4 linked regions of the Schizosaccharomyces pombe genome follow. The gene in region 2 interacts genetically with the main gene of each other region. Each region holds a gene or a part of one and is shown on either strand. Other genes may lie near its edges. The genes, in order: rem1, rps2802, ate1 and php3.

What was found.
Region 1: mutations in rps2802 (region 2) and rem1 together harm fitness more than expected from each alone (negative genetic interaction), as found in Schizosaccharomyces pombe (one large-scale study listed by BioGRID).
Region 3: mutations in rps2802 (region 2) and ate1 together harm fitness less than expected from each alone (positive genetic interaction), as found in Schizosaccharomyces pombe (one large-scale study listed by BioGRID).
Region 4: mutations in rps2802 (region 2) and php3 together harm fitness less than expected from each alone (positive genetic interaction), as found in Schizosaccharomyces pombe (one large-scale study listed by BioGRID).

Annotation. Positions count from the first base shown.
Region 1 is NC_003423.3:1,952,602-1,957,021, forward strand, and holds rem1 (meiosis specific cyclin Rem1), read right to left. Parts: upstream 2,112-4,420; coding exon 1,650-2,111; exon of another isoform or gene 1,565-1,649; coding exon 818-1,564; downstream 1-817. Other genes in the region: phosphatidylserine decarboxylase Psd1, read left to right, coding at 3,108-4,420. UniProt on the Schizosaccharomyces pombe protein: Required for pre-meiotic DNA synthesis and S phase progression. Regulates levels of meiotic intragenic recombination.
Region 2 is NC_003421.2:1,825,288-1,829,366, reverse strand, and holds rps2802 (40S ribosomal protein eS28), read left to right. Parts: upstream 1-2,000; 5' UTR 2,001-2,006; coding exon 2,007-2,074; exon of another isoform or gene 2,075-2,124; coding exon 2,125-2,263; 3' UTR 2,264-2,317; downstream 2,318-4,079. Other genes in the region: msh6 (DNA mismatch repair protein), read left to right, coding at 1-1,565; TRAPP complex subunit Trs130, read right to left, coding at 2,318-3,418, 3,461-3,886, 3,931-4,079. UniProt on the Schizosaccharomyces pombe protein: Component of the ribosome, a large ribonucleoprotein complex responsible for the synthesis of proteins in the cell.
Region 3 is NC_003424.3:2,075,951-2,081,304, forward strand, and holds ate1 (arginine-tRNA--protein transferase), read right to left. Parts: upstream 2,894-5,354; 5' UTR 2,781-2,893; coding exon 2,664-2,780; exon of another isoform or gene 2,610-2,663; coding exon 2,578-2,609; exon of another isoform or gene 2,537-2,577; coding exon 2,471-2,536; exon of another isoform or gene 2,417-2,470; coding exon 1,893-2,416; exon of another isoform or gene 1,847-1,892; coding exon 1,776-1,846; exon of another isoform or gene 1,735-1,775; coding exon 1,474-1,734; exon of another isoform or gene 1,435-1,473; coding exon 1,330-1,434; 3' UTR 1,157-1,329; downstream 1-1,156. Other genes in the region: serine/threonine protein kinase Pit1, read right to left, coding at 1-296; AAA family ATPase Elf1, read right to left, coding at 3,324-5,354.
Region 4 is NC_003424.3:2,143,440-2,147,604, reverse strand, and holds php3 (CCAAT-binding factor complex subunit Php3), read right to left. Parts: upstream 1,925-4,165; coding exon 1,826-1,924; intron 1,679-1,825; coding exon 1,618-1,678; intron 1,563-1,617; coding exon 1,435-1,562; intron 1,280-1,434; coding exon 1,217-1,279; downstream 1-1,216. Other genes in the region: alanine--tRNA (Ala) ligase Ala1, read right to left, coding at 1-403; SPOM_SPAC23C11.07 (uncharacterized protein), read right to left, coding at 2,379-2,711. UniProt on the Schizosaccharomyces pombe protein: Belongs to a complex that binds to the sequence CCAAT located upstream of genes involved in mitochondrial electron transport.

The sequences.
Region 1 (4,420 bases), on a different chromosome or scaffold from region 2:
TATTCATGAGCTGATATGGCTATTCATAGTATCATAGAGCATATTATCAGATAAGACAAATTAGGTTACAGATTTTTGGTAGCATAGACATCTAGATACACACAACAACAAGATATAGATAGGACCACTAGGTAAAAATTATTATTAATAAAATATATACCCTTACTAAAAAAAAAAAACAAATAAATAAAAATAAAATAAATTTAAAATAATAATAACAATAATAATATTTCTTTTTTTTATTTTCTTTATTTCTTTTTTTTTTTAATTTAATTTTGCTTTTTATTCTTTTTTTCTTGTTCAATTTAGGTACTTTTCTTTCCTTGTCTTGTTCATCTTTTATTTTCTTTTACTGTATTCTAAGGCACTCCTTTAATAAAAGGTACTTGGTAGCGATTCCTCTTCTCCTTCTCACAAACCTTTATTAGCGACATCTACCGCACTACCAACCTCTCGACATCAACTTGACCCTTCGCTTCTCTATTCCGTCCCACCCTCCCTCGCTTTTTACAAACCTTCTTACTTAGCGATACACCTTAATTCGAGCTTCTTTCACAAAAGTCCATATCAAGTCGTTCGTCTCCCTTTTCACTTCTATAACCCCAGTCTTTACTCTCTCGTGTAATTTTTTTTCTCCTACTCTTACTCTTCTACTTTTACTACTACTCTTCTTTTTTCTCTATTTTCCTACACTTCCCTCTCTCTCTCTCTCTCTCTCTCTCTCTCTCATCCTCTTCATATCTATCTTTCATTAAATTTCCTACATCTTACTTCTTCTTCTCTCTCTTTTCCCTCCTTTTTCTCTTCCCCCCCCCCCTCAACTACCATCCATCGCCATCAAGTTCGTATTTGTCGCAATCCAGTCATGCACTTGTCGACTAATCCCATGGAAATACGGTGTTGCATACTTTGAATAGATCGCATAGTGGTGATCAAACGGATTTTCTAGACATTTCAACAGTAGATGCACATACGAAACTAAACTCATATAATCATATCCCGTAATTTGAGGCAACGTATTGCTCCAGTTTTCCTCTTGCAATATAGATTGGCCGGTGTAGGCGCATGTCGCTACCAATTGACTCGCCCTTAGACTTGAAAATCTTTGTTCCACTAGCGATACTTCAAGAAAATATTTTATCATTATTCGCAGCTGCGACTCCCATTTGTTGACAATCGTCAATAGCCTCAAAAACGATACTGGCCCCGGCCACCCAAGTTGATATTGAAGAACCATAAGCATATACTTTTCCATTCCGCAAATATCTTCTCCTATCCATTCTCCCTCCAACACTATTTCCAAATCTTTCACTGTAGGAGGATGGATCTCTTCATACTTGCAAGCAATAAACAGCGCCGTTGCGCCGCAAAGTTTCATTTTCGATGCTGGCACATTTTGTAGAGATAGAAATCTATCCAATACATTGATCGATAGGAATAAGGATTCTGGAAGCAGGTTTATACATGTATGCACCCCCACAATCCAATTGATCACACTAGCCCTCATCTCTGTAACATAATATGGTTGAGCCGACATATGTCGGTAATCAGGCATAAATCGAATCTAAAAAATGTTAATAAATAAAAACTTCTTCAACTCCTTCATCTTCTTGTTTTCCTTCCCCCTTTTCTTCCCATTTTTTTCATACCTCCAATTTCTCCATGTGCGATAGGATTTCTTTTGCGTATTCCACAGACACCGATTCATCTGCTGAATATCTCATCTGTAATTCCTCCTCTTCATCCTCCTCTGCACAATTGTCATTTGATTCTTCAATCGCTATGCCAAATTCCGAAACACTGCAATTAGGACTTTGAACGTTACTGATCGAGCAAACATCCAAATCTACCAAAAGCTGTTTCTCCGTAAAGACTATCTCTTCCTCTAAAGGTGACGCTAAAAAACTATCATAGTCCTTTTGTATTTGCGACTCTTCAATTGAACTAATTCCATGCCAGCTCTGTGACGGAAAATGTTTATCTGATGGGCTACACCCATTTTGAAGGGATATTTCTCGTACCTGTGCGTTCACCCAGCCTTTTACGTTCAATGATTTGGAAACATAATTGCTTATTTCTTGAAGCGCAACTCTTTTGTTGTTAGAGTTCATGTTTGAATTGGTTCTCGTTGCTGAAACGGTCGCTTTAATTGTTTCAACCAAGCTCTTAGGTAGGCAAGTATCAGTCAATACAATTGCTTTTACTCTTTAATGATTGGGAATCAAATCAAACCGTTTTCTTGAACTTTTTGTTGTAAAATGGCAGTATGCTATTAGCAGGTTCTGTTTGTTTACAGTGAGTCAACAAAAAGTTGATGGTGAAAATGTTTGTTTATTTCCCATATACATATACCAACGGTCGTAACCTTAAAGTAAAACACAACCCAAAACTAAACTTTACCTCTACTATATCAGAATTCATGCTGCTTAAAAATTCCAAACAATGCCCGAATTCATGAAATAGGTTTTTGTGTTGATCGAAACGTTATCAAAGTAAAGCAAGGATTTTGATCAAAAACTCTTTTATTATTTGTATTGATGAGTTTTTACAGTCGCTCATCGGTTGTAAACATTCCATTATTTTACCGTTTTCGAATCATTGAAAACTGAACATAAGAAATCTTGCTACAATTAAGCTTTTTTTCTATTAGGTAACCATCAAACAAGCTTAAAAAAAATAATTAATTTACGCCTTCTCGTAAGTTATTATAATCAAACAAATTGAAATGTAATTGAAAAGAATCTCCTATTCTAAGATTTTTCTACAAACTTGCTTCGAAAGTTTCTTCTGCACTTATACAATGCTATAAGGAATATTCCTTTCTTCTAATTTTGATCGATTTTCGCAAAGTAGGATTGCCTGATACAATGTCAAGGATCTGATTTAATTTCCTTAAAAAAAAAAAAAAGAAAGAAAATGAAAACTCAACAACTTTAAATCATATTACAGTTCCCATATTTACTTGATATCCCAAGTTTACTACGACTTAACTTCTACCACTATCCTTTGAGAAGCACATGGATTCGAAGAAATAGCATATGGAAGTTTAAAAGTTAACGGGTCTCCGAAATCCATTCAAAAGTTTAATTCCATAAAAACAATCTAACATGCTAAAATTTCATCGTAATGTGAAGCCTCAATTTGGTGCATTTGCAAGGTATAGTAGTTTGGGAAAACACAACTCTCGTAAACGGGTTGGAATCATCCGCTTAGCATATGGGTTGACAGGAATCGGCTTGGTTGGATTAGCTGGCTTCGCTTGGGCTCAAGATCGTCACGAGAAAACGTATCAGAAGAAAGGCGTTCAGGTGGAGGGACCATGGCAATTTTATGTCCTTACCACTTTACCATTACGAACTCTCTCGCGTTGGTGGGGATATGTTAATCGTATTGAGATTCCTCTATGGATGAGAGTGCCAGCGTTTGGCCTTTATTCTAAAATATTTGGTTGCAACTTGACAGAAGCTGACCCCGATGATGTCCGCCAATACAAAAATCTGGCCGAGTTTTTCACCAGAAAGTTGAAACCTGGAGCGCGCGTAATTGATCCCGATGCCCCAATTGTTATTCCTGCGGATGGGAAAATCTTGAATTATGGTGTTATTGAAGGAGGTCAGCTTGAACAAGTAAAAGGTATAACCTATTCCCTTGATGCACTATTGGGCGATGAGAAGTTAGCTCGTTTGAAGCGCAGCCATGCTATTCCCTCTCCCGATCATATCCCTCACATTCGTCAAGAGGAGTTTGCCAAGTTAAATGGTATACATTACAGTTTACAAGATTTAATGGGTCATGATCATGGTGAACGACCAAGCCATGTCAAAGATGCTAGCGCACAACATATTGATTTGTTAAGCTCAACAAAAGTGGCAGCCAAATCACAGTTTACGTTGTTCGGATCAAGAGAAACGAATTGTTTATACTACGCAGTTATTTACTTGGCACCAGGTGATTACCATCGATTTCATTCGCCGACTGATTGGGTCGTAGAACGAAGAAGGCATTTTTCCGGAGAGCTGTTTAGCGTTTCTCCTTTTATGGCTCGTCGACTCGGAAATCTTTTCATCTTGAACGAAAGAGTAGCTTTGATGGGGAGATACAAATACGGGTTTATGAGTATGATACCCGTCGGTGCTACAAATGTTGGCAGTATCCGAATTAAATTTGATAAAGATTTATGTACGAATCAGTTTGGAAAACTAGGCCCAGTAGGTACTTTTGATGAGGCTGTATACACCTCATCTTCTTCTATTTTGCATGGTCACCCATTACTTCGTGGAGATGAGGTCGGAAATTTTGAGCTTGGTAGTACAGTGGTATTGGTGTTTGAAGCACCTGCGGATTTTGAATTTTTGGTCAAACAAGGGCAGAAAGTTCGTGTGGGATTACCTTTGGGTCGAGTTGTCCCATCTTCCCATTA
Region 2 (4,079 bases):
ACCCTGTTATTCGAGATACCATTTGGGGGTTTCTACATAAACTTCCTGACTTGGAACGGTTGATATCACGGGTGCATGCCGGAAGAAGTAAACCCGCAGATTTTGTTCGAGTATTAGAAGGATTCCAACGAATAAATAGTGCATTTGATCAGCTTCGCGAGGAATTCATGGAAGTCGCTGAAGGAACTTTACTAGGAGAGATAATTCAAAGTGCACCTAACATGAAAGAGGAATTAGAAGCATGGACCCGAGCTTTCAATTGGCAAAAGGCTTCAGAAGAAGGTGTTTTCGAACCAGAGATTGGCTTTGAAGCCGAATATGATACTTCTCAAAAATACCAGTCCGAACTTAAAAACGAATTGTATGCGCTTTTAGAGCAATACAAGAAGCAGCTAAGGTGCTCGTCTCTTAATTTTAAAAATATTGGTAAAGAGGTTTATCAGGTCGAAGTCCCAAGCGATGTTAAAGTACCGGTTAATTGGTGCAAAATGTCAGGTACCAAAAAAACCAATCGATACTATAATGATGAACTACGAAAGAAAATAAAGAAATTACTAGAGGCGGAAGAGCTTCATTTAGCAATTATGTCGCGAATGCAGGAGAAATTTTATATTCGATTCGATTCTAATTATGAGCAATGGTTGGCTTTAATTAAATATACTGCATCTATTGATTGCTTTTTCAGCCTTAGTCAAGCAGCCGCAGCGTTGGGTGAGCCATATTGTAGACCGGAAATTATTGAACAGAAGGACGGACACTTGTATTTTGAGGAGTTGAGACATCCTTGTATAAACGCAAGTGCGGCTTCAACTTTCGTTCCTAATGATGTCGTTTTAGGAGGTGAATCCCCAAACATGATTGTTTTGACCGGTCCAAACATGGCTGGAAAGTCCACATTATTGCGTCAAGTCTGTATTGCTGTTATAATGGCTCAACTAGGGTGCTGGGTTCCGGCTAAACGTGCTAGTATAACACCTATGACCAGCATTTACACTAGATTAGGTGCCAATGATGATATAATGTCGGCACGAAGTACTTTTATGGTTGAACTTTCGGAGACAAAGAAAATTTTGGACGAATGTGGACCTAAAAGTTTGGTAATTTTAGATGAACTAGGTCGTGGAACTAGTACTTATGATGGTCACGCGATAGCTTACGCTGTACTTCATCATTTGGTTTCTAATATTGGGTGTTTGGGATTTTTTTCTACACATTATCAAAGTCTTTGCGTTGATTTTATGCATCATCGACAAGTACGATTGATGCAGATGGCTGCAGCTGTTGATGAAAAAATCAGACGTGTAACGTTTTTGTATAAGCTGGAAGATGGTATTTGCCCTAAGTCTTACGGTATGAATGTTGCTAGTATGGCCGGCTTACCTGAGAAGGTAATTGATGCGGCCGAAGAGAAGGCCTCGGAACTTGAGCAAGCGTCTGCCAGCTTCATTAACGCAAGCGATGACATTGCTTTAATGAGTGATTTCCTTCAAGTGTTGCGCATATCAAAGTCAATTGAACCTTTGACAGCAGTGAATATACCTCTCATACTTGATTCGTTTGAATAATAACTGTCAACACTCTATCAGTTTTATGACTATTCAAAGCAATATCTTTCGTTTGCTGGCAAGCGGAAGCTTGCTTTTATTTACCATTTACTTACGTTATTTGCATGTTCACATTAATCAATTTTTTTTTTCTACTGAACAACTAAAATATAAATGTTCACACAATAATTGAAATTAACATAAATGTAGGAAGGACCGGAGAGCTAATTAACCAGCAAACTTCTATATATTACACTTCGTAACTGAGGCATTCTCATAACAGATAGATTTAACGAACAACAACGACAACGTAGGTTATTAATGATTAGACACATCGTTATTTGAGAGAAATGGCAAAATACTATAGATAGTGCATTACGAAGCAAGGTGCTAAAATATATCGTGACTGTCATTTTTGAACACAACAAAACTTCATTTTGAAAGACTTCTTGGTCTAACAACATGGATTCTTCAAAGGTCCCAGTTAAGTTGGCTAAAGTCATCAAAGTTCTCGGACGTACTGGATCTCGGTATGTAACAAAGTGATAGATATTCGAATTAAAAACTAATATTGATACAGTGGTGGTGTTACTCAAGTCCGTGTCGAATTCATGGATGACACATCCCGTTCCATTATTCGTAACGTCAAGGGTCCTGTTCGTGAAGATGATATTCTCGTCTTGTTAGAATCTGAGCGTGAAGCCAGGCGCTTGCGCTAGAAAAAATCTCGAAAGGAAAAATACCTGTTTTTCTATTACCGTACTAAATTCATATTAAGGTGCATAATCTAGATCCGGTTGATCGTTCAAAGGACGCCCGACTAGAGTGTACTTTGTATTCTTCAATATGGAAATATCATCGTCTTTTGAATGAACAACTACTTCTGGTAGCATTACTCTCCCAGCCGTAAGAAACACCGCCGTAACTTGTTCCTGTGCTGTAGTTTGATTTTTTTCCCATACAATCTTTCGTTGAGTAGGTCCAGCAAACAAGATTGTTGTAGTATAAGCTGGAAAATTGTAAAATATCTCGAAGGACTGTCCCTGTTTCTCTTTCTTTGAATGTGTCAAAGATCTAAGGAATGTGAGTGTAATTTCGGTAGGTTTATTCAACAAAACCTTCTGGGGAATCTTCCATATATACTCGATAGTGGTACTTTGCATTTCATCTTTGAAGGGTAAAGGTCCAATTGTTTGATGCAATGAAAAATAGAAGGGTAAGTTTTTTAATCGTTCCTTCTTTTCAAACTCTTGAACGAACGATCTGAGACTATTAAAGGATACTTCGCTCTCTAAATGCTGAATAAATTCACTAAATTCATTCCGAAGCTCCTCATTATCAAAAAATGAGTTTAAAATTTTCTTGCCATTAAGTTTCCGAATCTCTTCAGGCAGTACTACCGTACCTTGGGTAATGTTTGATAAAGAAATCTGTTGACAAGCGTGGTCTAATAACGGCATGATATGTTCGATGTCAATGAAATCGAACCGTTCCCATATGTTTACACATAATTTCATAAATACGACATCTGCAAGACGTAGACAATTCATGGAAAACTTCAAATCTATTGACATATCCGAATCAAAATGGCAGCTCGTAAAGCAATCCATAGGGGATAAGACAGGAATGTTGTAAGGTATATCAAAAACATTATCATATGTACCTTGCTTGGTTTTGCGCATGCAATTCCATGAACAGAAAATGATGGGCTCCTTTGGTTGGATATGTAAAAATATTGTACTCGTAAGGGGATCCCTCATATTATTTGTTTTTTCGCAATTTGCTTCAACAATCCCAGCATTTTCAATATGTAATACTTTACCAAATCGAACTGTCTGCCCAGACTCTAAGATGTAGCTCAAGTTAATAAGAAACTAAATAAGGTTAGCAATAGTGAAATATTTTTTTTTACATACTTCATTTCCTTCAACTGGTGTATTTGTTAGGGGTATATACAACTTGGCTACTCCTGGAACTTTTTGGATGTTTTTTATCACCAAGGAATCAGTTTTTGATTCAAGGCCACAATGCGATTCTTCACTAAGGAAAGACTTTTCCAAATTTGTAAAACCGCTATTCTCTATATAAGATAGTTTTATCTCTGAGCAACTTGCTTTGTAAAATCGTTCACCAAACATAATAGGTATACAAGCAAATATTCCATCATTCTGAAACTGCTGCGAAATTTTTGATTGAAGTATATACAGATGGTTACTATGCTTGGTAGGATTCAATACTTCAATTTGTTTGTTAGAATGCAAGCAATCTTTTTGAAATGATAGCACACTGTCTTTGAGTTTAAAAACTATTGTCTTCAAATGATATCTTCCAGGAATAATATCCTATTTCCATTGTTAATAAACATATAAAAGGTGGGATCACTTACATTACAGTGCACGTTAAGTTTTCCGTCCGTTATACTATTATGCAGCGTAAATAGTAGATTCATTGGATTCTTACTCGAAGAAAGAACATAATTACATGTAACTGAATCAACGCTTTCGAGGTCAAAAACTTTTGACTCGCACATAAAGC
Region 3 (5,354 bases), on a different chromosome or scaffold from region 2:
ATATTAACTATATTTTCATTTTCGGAAAGTCTCAACAAAGAATGTACCTCGCGCAATCTGGTAGCATCAGAAACCTTAGCCAGCTTTTTCTTCATACTTTTTATAGCTACTACTTCTTTAGAAGGAGTTTTAGTAGTTGCAAGGTAAACTGAACCGAAGGTGCCATCTCCAACCTTTCGCACAACATTATATACTTCATCAATTGAAATGCATTTGCGAACCTCCTTGGTATACTTTGGTTGCTTGCCTGTAAATACGGTATTCGTAGTTGGAGTACCCCACAAATACTTCTTCATAATATATCCGCACAAAAATCGAGTTTAGGTACAAAATAGAATCAGTGAAGCACCTCAACAAAAAAGATAAAACATGCGAAATCCTGTAAAAAGAGATATAAAAAAACTTTGTTGCAAAGGCAATATTATACTTGAGAAGCAGCTTCCAAGTAGCATACAGCTTAAACGCAATAAAAATCAAATCAAAATCAGTGATTTTCAATAAAGAATGAAATTGAACAAGTAAATACACCTCTCTATACAAGTATTTATCGTTGAGAAATGGTGTAACTTATTCAAAGAAAAAATGGAAGCGGTAAATGGATTTAAGCCTGTATTAAGAAAATCACAGTGCAAATTAATGAATTCTTTATACAAATGGTACAAAAATAGATAAAAGAACAATCCCTTATTACAACACCTTGTTTTAGGAAAGTAAAAGTAAAATAACTTCAAAATGGCATTCGAAGAAAAAATCAGTGCCTAGAAGTTGAATTGTAAGCCAACCGTGATTAATTATTTTTAAAATGCAGTCAACCCAATTTTGACACGAAATGTCATCGAAATCTGGTGTTTGCTAATACTCTATAGAATGAGAACCTAGCAGTAACACTTGAGAAAGAAAAAAGAAGAACAATTAAAGTAAAATCTCTTCTCTAAATGATAAAATCCTTTCTCACCTACTATGCACTGTTTTGCGATTATATTAAGTCGTGAAGTACCGGTAAACCCGTTTTTGTGTTTGGTTGCAAACAACTCGTAACGGAAAAGCCCACTAAGTTATGTTAGGGTGACATTTTAGGTAGCGTGCAGTTATAAATAATTACAAAATAAATATATAAGCCGGCAGTATTTTATATTATTAGAAATGCTATCAACTTCGATTAAGGGACATAAAAGAGGAAACTATCACACATAAGTAGTAGCATAAAATTAACTTAATTCTGTAAGTCACATTGTAAAATTTACTCTCAAAGCCATCCTGGAGTTCATTAAGATTTTTAAGTAGGATGTTCATATCTTAAGCAAATAAAACACGTAGACAGATAATATATCAACTAGATAAAACAAGTGTATAACTCTTTGCGACTTCTTCGCCCACAGCAGCATTGATTTCAACAAACCAATGTTTAACCTGAGGGAAATAACTTAAAACATGCTGAAGAATTAGCATTGTTACTCAAAAATAAAGACATACTCTTGTGGGGAAAGTTGAATTGCCAATGTTAGCAAAATTCTCCGAAACCAAGGACTCAGCAACATTTACTGAAAGAATTCCAGGAAGCTGTCGATTAAACAGTGTATAATCATCTTCGTTTTGAGATGAATCTTCAGAAGAATCGTAGTCAACAGCAGTTTGAATATCACTATTATTTTCATCCCCGAAACTTATATATTTAGGAGCACCAGTATTCCAAAGTGAAGTAAAGTTTTCAATTGGTATCCATTTATTTGTACCCTGTTTGTATTAGTTCAAGTTAAAATCGAATGTATACGTACGGGATTAAGCAGGTACGATGGACTATACGTTGCCTTATACTTCATTTTGGGACATGTGTGAATATAATAACCTGCAAGGTCAATCAACGTAATTAAATAAATGACATTTTAGCCTACCCATGTAGTAGTACCGATATCCGCATTCAAGAGCAAGCCAGATTTCACGGCAGGCACTAATCCTTCCCAGAGAAAACTTAGACATATCAGGATCATAAAACAGATAAACGCTAGAAACACCATGTGGTAGCAAGTCTAAAACTCCAACTGCCACAAGCCTTCCTTGAAATCGATACATCTGATGATAAGAACCATACTTTATCCCCTTGTCTTCATTAAATAAAGGAGAGTTGCAAAGAAACCTGCTAAATCCTTTTTTCGTGATTTCCTCTTCTTTCTCTAAATGAACTTGCATTTGATACTTTTTGAAGACTTCAAATTTCTCATCGGTGTAAGTGCAAGGCTCCATAGTTACAGAGTATTTTTCAGCTCCGAGCGATTCTATAGTTTGAAAGGCATTGTTCAAATAATCTGTGCTAATTTCGCTTTTCATAGGTTTTAATGGCTTTCCATTTACATATTTGACCCATTTTTTTATTGCCTTCTTTTGCTCTTTTGCAATTTTAAAATTATAGCTGTCGAGTCTTCAACATTCGGCGGTTAGTAATCAATCATATTTGGCGACTTATGCTAAGTACCTGATTGTATAAAGAGAACAGCAAGATGTTTTCCCGTTGGGTTTATATAAATAATGTCCTGAACGTCTTATTTTATATTAGCAATGTTAACTAATAAAGGTTTTTACCTCCATCCCAAATCAATCAATCGCTGGTAGTCCTGAGGTTAAATGTAGGTTAGCAAAATTTGCAAAAAGCAGAGTTATACGCTTACTTCACAACTGAGCTTTTCTGCTAATAAACCAAAATGCTCGGTCTTTCTTCCACTTTTACAATAACCACATTCAGTACTGACGTTGTACCCTGTGTACAACAGTTTATCCAATACCATACTATTGTTTGAAAATTTCCCTGTTTAATATTAAATGAACTATATCATCAGTAGTAAAACTCTTAGTTCAGTTCTTTTGCCTTTATTTTGAAGGCTCTTTGAGTAGGTGAACTAAGACTACACCAATTATTTCTTGAAGATTAAGTACCCTATTTTTCGTTGAGTGCATGTTTATAGAAATTTCCTGATTAATCATATTAAAAAGTCTATCACATTTTCATACGAATATCTAGAAAAAAACCCAAAAAATACATAGTTCTCTTGACACCTTTTACAAGAGTCAATGACAAAAGTGTATACGTCTAATACAACTATAACATGCACTAACGATAAACAAAACATATAAAAAGCGACTAATATTAATATTATCCACGATACCATCCACCAAGTTCTATATATATAAATTAAGTCTAAAAGGTATATCAGTAAACCGTAAATATGTAAAAGACCAACTTCAACAACTAGCACCGTCTAAAGAAAATTAAAGGATAAACAACTCTCAACTTGTCAATCCAAAGAGCGAATTAAAAAATTAGTCTGAAATTATTCTTCATCATCAGAGAAGAATGATTTGGGTTTTTCGGTGCCCTTGGGAGATTGTAACCATGCTAATTCTCTCTCTCTAGCACGTCTTTCTTTGGCCTTGATTTCATTTCTCGTCAATTTCTTCTTTTTGGTAGCTTTAGCCTCAATCTTTTTCAAATCTTTCTCCGACAGATCTTCAAACTTTCCATCGTCAACAGCGGTCTTGCCCTTACCGGTAACCTTACCCGCTTCTACATGCCAGTGTTCAGGACACAACGCAGAAACAAATTCTTCATTATGTGAAATCATAACGACCCCACCTTCCCAATCACGAATAGCAACAGCTAAACCACCTAATGCATCTCTGTCCAAAAAGTTTGTAGGTTCGTCCAAAACCAAAAGCTGGGGGTTATTCCAGAGACACGCAGCAATAACAACTTTAACCTTTTGACCGCCAGACAAACTACTAATGGGGCTGTAATCAGCAATGTCGCCAGGAAGGCCCACATCCTCAAAATGTGCCCTGATGTCTTCGGGAATCAATTCACGGAAACCGAGACCTTCGCGAGAAGATTCCATATCATCAAAAGCCTGTACAAACTTTTGAAACCCATTTTCAAGCAATATTTCTCGAGACACCCACGTATTGTATTTATGAGGCTTCCCAAACCATTTAATTTCATATTGAAATGACTTTTTTAGTTTTTGACGGCCAATCAAAGCTTCCACTCTTCTACGTTCGCCATTGACCGTAATATCACGCTGAAGCTGAGCACGGTCTTCTTCGGTAAGTTTTCGAGATTCCTTCTCTGAAACTTCGCGGTCCTGTCCTCCAGCATAACGCCATTGAATATATTGACTTGGCGTTTTTTCCAGATGTTGATCCAAGTGATGAAAGGCATGCTGAGCAACGTAACCCACACGCAAGTTGGGATGCTTGAAAACTTTTCCTTCTTGAGGGATTACTTCACCGATAAGAACTTTAATAAGCGTTGATTTACCAGCACCGTTAGGACCTAAAATGGCAACACGAGAAGATAAAGATAACCCAACGGTAACATTATCTAATGACTTCTTCTTCGCGTTGGGATATGTATAAGAAGCGTTTGTCATTTTTAATATGAGACGTGTGTTTGAGCGCACACCAGTTAAGATACCGGGAGGTGGAAAAACAAACTTCTCGTTTGTGGCTGTCAATGTATAGTATGATTTAGCTTCCGGTTTGACCTTGACAAAAGCTGAAAGATTACCTTGATAATAACCAAGCTTTTTTGCCTGGTTTTTAACACCTTCATAATGAATGATGTCAGTACACACGTGGTCCAAAAATGAAGAGTCGTGAGAAACTATCAAGCAAGTAATATTCTTTTGAGAGGTTAAATATGCTTCCAGCCATGCAATATTGGCAACATCAAGATGATTTGTTGGTTCATCCAAAAGCAAAATATCAGCTTTCTGCAACATGGCACGAGCCAACTCCAGTTTCATTTTCCAACCACCAGATAAAGAAGCAACAGGATTTTCCTGCATCTCCGCAGTAAAACCAACAGAATGCAAAGCATCAGCAGCTTCTTGACGGGTAACATTCATAGTCAGTAACGCCTTATCTTGAGCAACAAAGTCAAGGATAGCCATACTAGTATCCTCGCCTTGAAGACTATGTGCAACAAAGCAAGTTTTAACCTCATCAGGTGAGGGAAAGTTTTCAACCTTGTAATCACCAATAGCGCGTAACAAGGTTGATTTACCACAACCATTGTGACCAACAACACCGTATCGATGACCTCTATAAAGGTGAAGATTGGTATGACTCAGAAGCAATCTGCCACCGTATGCCAAAGAAAAATCAGTGTTAACTAGTTCCTCTTCCTCAATAGTAAGGTTTGAAATCCCATCAACAGAATTTAATGACTTATAGAAGGCGTGAAGGTCATCATATATCTTTGATGATATTTGTGAAGCCAATTCTTCCCCGACAAGTGGAGATAAATAAAGCACACCTAATTGCGAAGTCCATTTGTCTTTGTCAAAATTATTTGACTTATACAA
Region 4 (4,165 bases), on a different chromosome or scaffold from region 2:
TCTTAAGACCGTAAACGTTGGTAAGTAGGTCCCAGGCCATTGCGATAGCTTCTTTTTTAAAGTAATCGCCGAAAGACCAATTACCCAACATTTCAAACATAGTATGATGATAGTTGTCTTTACCAACGTCCTCCAAATCATTGTGTTTTCCACCAGCACGAATGCATTTTTGAGAATCACAAGCGCGTTTTAATTTAGCGAAATCACTAGAAGGATCAACAGTTCCCAGGAAAATGGGTTTAAACTGGTTCATACCAGCGTTCGCAAAAAGTAAGGTAGGGTCATCGTAAGGAATTACAGAAGAGCTAGGAACAATAGTATGTCCGTGATCTTCAAAGTACTTCAAAAACGTACGCCTGATCTCATTGGCAGGCCAATTAACTACCTCTGATTCGGCGGTCATGAGGTCTCTGCGGTGTAGTGTAGGTAAAGGATAAGAAGGAGTGTGGGTTGAAATTTTTAAGCGCGCAAACAATGAAGACTTAGTATTGATAACGCTTTGATGTGTTAATCGAAACTTATTACGGCAATTTAAATTAGTTATTTTAGATAAACAGATGGGAAACGAGGCACGAATCCCTAACATACGAAGTTGGTGGAATCTATTAGAATCGGTGGACGGAAAATGACCCTGGTATTATATAGCCGTACGCTGAGAAGGTAATTTACATACTAGCTACAGCAGGATTAAACACTTTCCTGACAATAAGAAAATTTATTGATTGATACGTATATGACTACGGAAACATCGGCTAATCCTTCCATGAACCGAATGACTATATGTGTCTTATGCTGATTTCGGTGAAATAGACGAAATGAGTAAAAATAAAAATGAAATGCTATTTTTTTCAAAATAATATATAGGTTAACAGTAGCAGGATTAACAAAATGAAAAAGTAAGCAAAAGCGAATGAGGGATAATCACAATAATACACTTTAAGTAAACAGGCAATAGTAATTGCTAAATTTATACTGACGACATTAAGGAAGTTTTAAATATGAACAGGCCATTTTGGCAATATAGTGCTTATCTTTGAAACTTGGTTAAAGTAGAAATTAACATAGTTCGTAAATTAGCATCATTTGTAAGATAAACAGAGATAAAACAGGAGAGTACAAAAAGAGAGAGGAATAACAAATAAGGCGATCGACGATCGCTGCAAAAGTCAGGAAATATTTCAGGGAAAACCCCGCTAATGCAAAATATATAAGGAAATTACTGAGGCTCTTCGGACCGGCTTTGTTTAGTTTCTTTCATGCTAGCAGATCTTGCTTGTTGCTAGAGTAGATGTTAGAAAAGTGACTATGAGAATGAAATTTTGGTATGAGTGAATGAATTGTTGCGCCTTCATTGCTTGAGACAATTTAAATCTCTAAGCCAACAAGGAAGTAGAAGTACACGTATCACCATTCAAATAAAGAATTTTTCCTTACCTCTCTGTATTTGGTGAGAGAAATCTTTAAAACTTCGGCATAATTTTCGAACCCAAGGGTATTTAAAGCCAATAAAACATCTTCACCAGTAATTGTCTTTCTCTTTTCTTGAGTGCATTGTTCAGATGCTATTATATGGTCAGTAAATAACTATACATGAGGCTTTTGCTATTGATTCCATACCTTCACCAGTAACAAAGGAAATAAACTCACTAACGCAATCTTGGACGCAGTCTTTAGCTTCCTAAAAAGTCAGACATTAGCACTGCAACATGAAAATTACAAAACAAAAGAGAAGAACGCACTCACAGCGACCTACTCCGTCACTAGCAATCAATCAATCGAAGAGACTGACAATGCGATTTTTCTCAATTCAACAAATCATGCATACCTTGGAAATCTTGGCGTTTTCGGGAAGTGCCGATTTCATGATACGCGCGACATTTGCAATTGGTAGGAGATTGGTGTAATCCAACCCGTCTGCGCTCATGATAATTAAATGTATCTTTTACTTGTATAATTTAATTTTGGCGAGCAGAGAAACCTCAAATAACGAAAATAAGTACACAAACCCCGCTAAAATTGGTTTGACTACTAGCAAGCACGATCCTTGACAAAAATCGACAGCTGATAACCTATTCTCGAGCCTTTGTGGAGGGAACTAAAAAGAAATCCAATAATTCAGCAGGAGATGAAGATCCTAAAAGACGAACAAATCAAATAAAAAGAAATGACCTCCTTTTGAGCAATGAACGAGGGTAATGGCTTAACGTTAACTTTCTGCTTCTTCACAAAAGAAAGTAAACGTCTATCTACTTCCAATAGGGAAAGAAATCAGTAGTTGGTTATTGCGATAAAGAAACACTATGTTATTGCAAAAGAAACAGCAATTTGTTTCTACAGGTTGCAAGCAATTCGCAGACTGACTGTATCGGCCTATAATATTATTTAAATAGTGCAGTTGTAAAGTGGGAGATTAACAAGAGATACTGAATTCGAGTGGTACGATATATCGGTTTCCGACTGGGGCATCTAACTACTATTCCACCTACTCCAGCGGCGAGCAATACTGGATGGCTCTGAGCCTTCGACGGGGCTGCGCTATTTAGGTAAGTGGGGTGAAAGGCCGAAATGGGGGCCAAAAGACTTTCAAGTGGCGTATAAGGGAAACGAGCAAGACTTTTGGAAGCTTTAAGGTCCCAAGTGGGATGAAGGTGAAGGCGAGGCGTCTTCTCTTGAAGCCAAGGTTTCCCAGTAAAAAGAAAGTGGGATGCCATCTAATCCCTATGTCACTTTTACGCTGACAAAATAATCGTGATATACGTTAAACAAGAGGAAAGGAGAGACTAGCAAAAGAAGTGTTTTGTCATTCAAGCGACGATCCTTCATACAAAAAGCAAATAAATAAATCCTTTTATAAATATCATAAACATATCATTAGAAAACCAAGAAAAATAAATAATAATATGAATTAATTTAATTCAAAAAAAAAATATAAATATAAATATAAAAAAAGAGTAGAAGCGATTGTGGAAACTGACAGCGAAATAATTATGAGACATTTATTTTACAACTTACAGAGCAAATATTAAGTTCGTTTGAAATAGTTCACAATTGGTATTTACCGTTCACATCTGATAACTGAAGAGGAATTCAATGTTATTAAAATCGTGTTTGCGAAAAAGTTAATAAAAATAACCTAGCAAAGAAGATTCGTAGAAAAATGGAATAACAAGAAAGTAAATGTATCTTATGGCAAAACTGACAATCCAGTGTTTTTTTTTTCTACATTTCATTCATCTTCACTCTCCATTCGCACGCATACCTAAATATGTTCCCGTAGGGGAAAATTGCGTATACTGAATTGTTTTGTTCTACAACTCGCATCTACTCAACTATATTCCCTACTTGACTATACTTCTGCACTTCAAAAGTCATGTGTATCTATCCTAATCTTTATATTATACAGTGGAATGCACTATAAACCTAGTTGTATTTTTATTTCTCATTTCCTATACATCAATGATATATCAGATTAAAAGTTTGCTCCTCTTTCTATCCCATCTCACCCATCATCACTTGCAACATTGGCAAGGGTAATTGAAGGCGATGCGAGCTGTGTGTTGTCAAAAGAACGAATATGTTTTTTGCCTTTACCATCATTCCTACTCTTCCGTCCTCTCGACGTCACATAGAGTAATCGAGTGCATTACTAAAGGACACTTAACTAGTCTTATTTCCATACAACGCTGAGCCGCCCATTCATTACGTTTCCTCGACGCAGGCTAATTTACGTAGAACATAATGGCAGTTTATAATATATATGGCAAGTAGCCAGTGATGGTGAAGGGTCCGCAAAAGGATAGAACTTAACCAAGATTTCTTTACATAATAAATTCATTTGCCTACAATAGTTTGGTAGTCAAGCTATTGTTAAAAGAAAATTCAAAAGTATTGCAAAGACTTGTATTCATTGCAAATAATACTTTTTCAACAATTATCAAGTCAATTTCTATTTTTTTTTGTGGTAATTGTCTACTGCATAAACAGAAACATTTGATTTTTACCTAAAATTGTTTTATTGTCACATCTAGTTGTGACAAAATCGATTTCTCTGTTGTGATTATATATATTTTTGCTGGGATTTAAAAACAACAGTCCATCTTGTTTACGCCGTTACTCTAATTATAAATCCATATAGTTTTCGTTTCGTTTCGTTTCTTTATTCCCT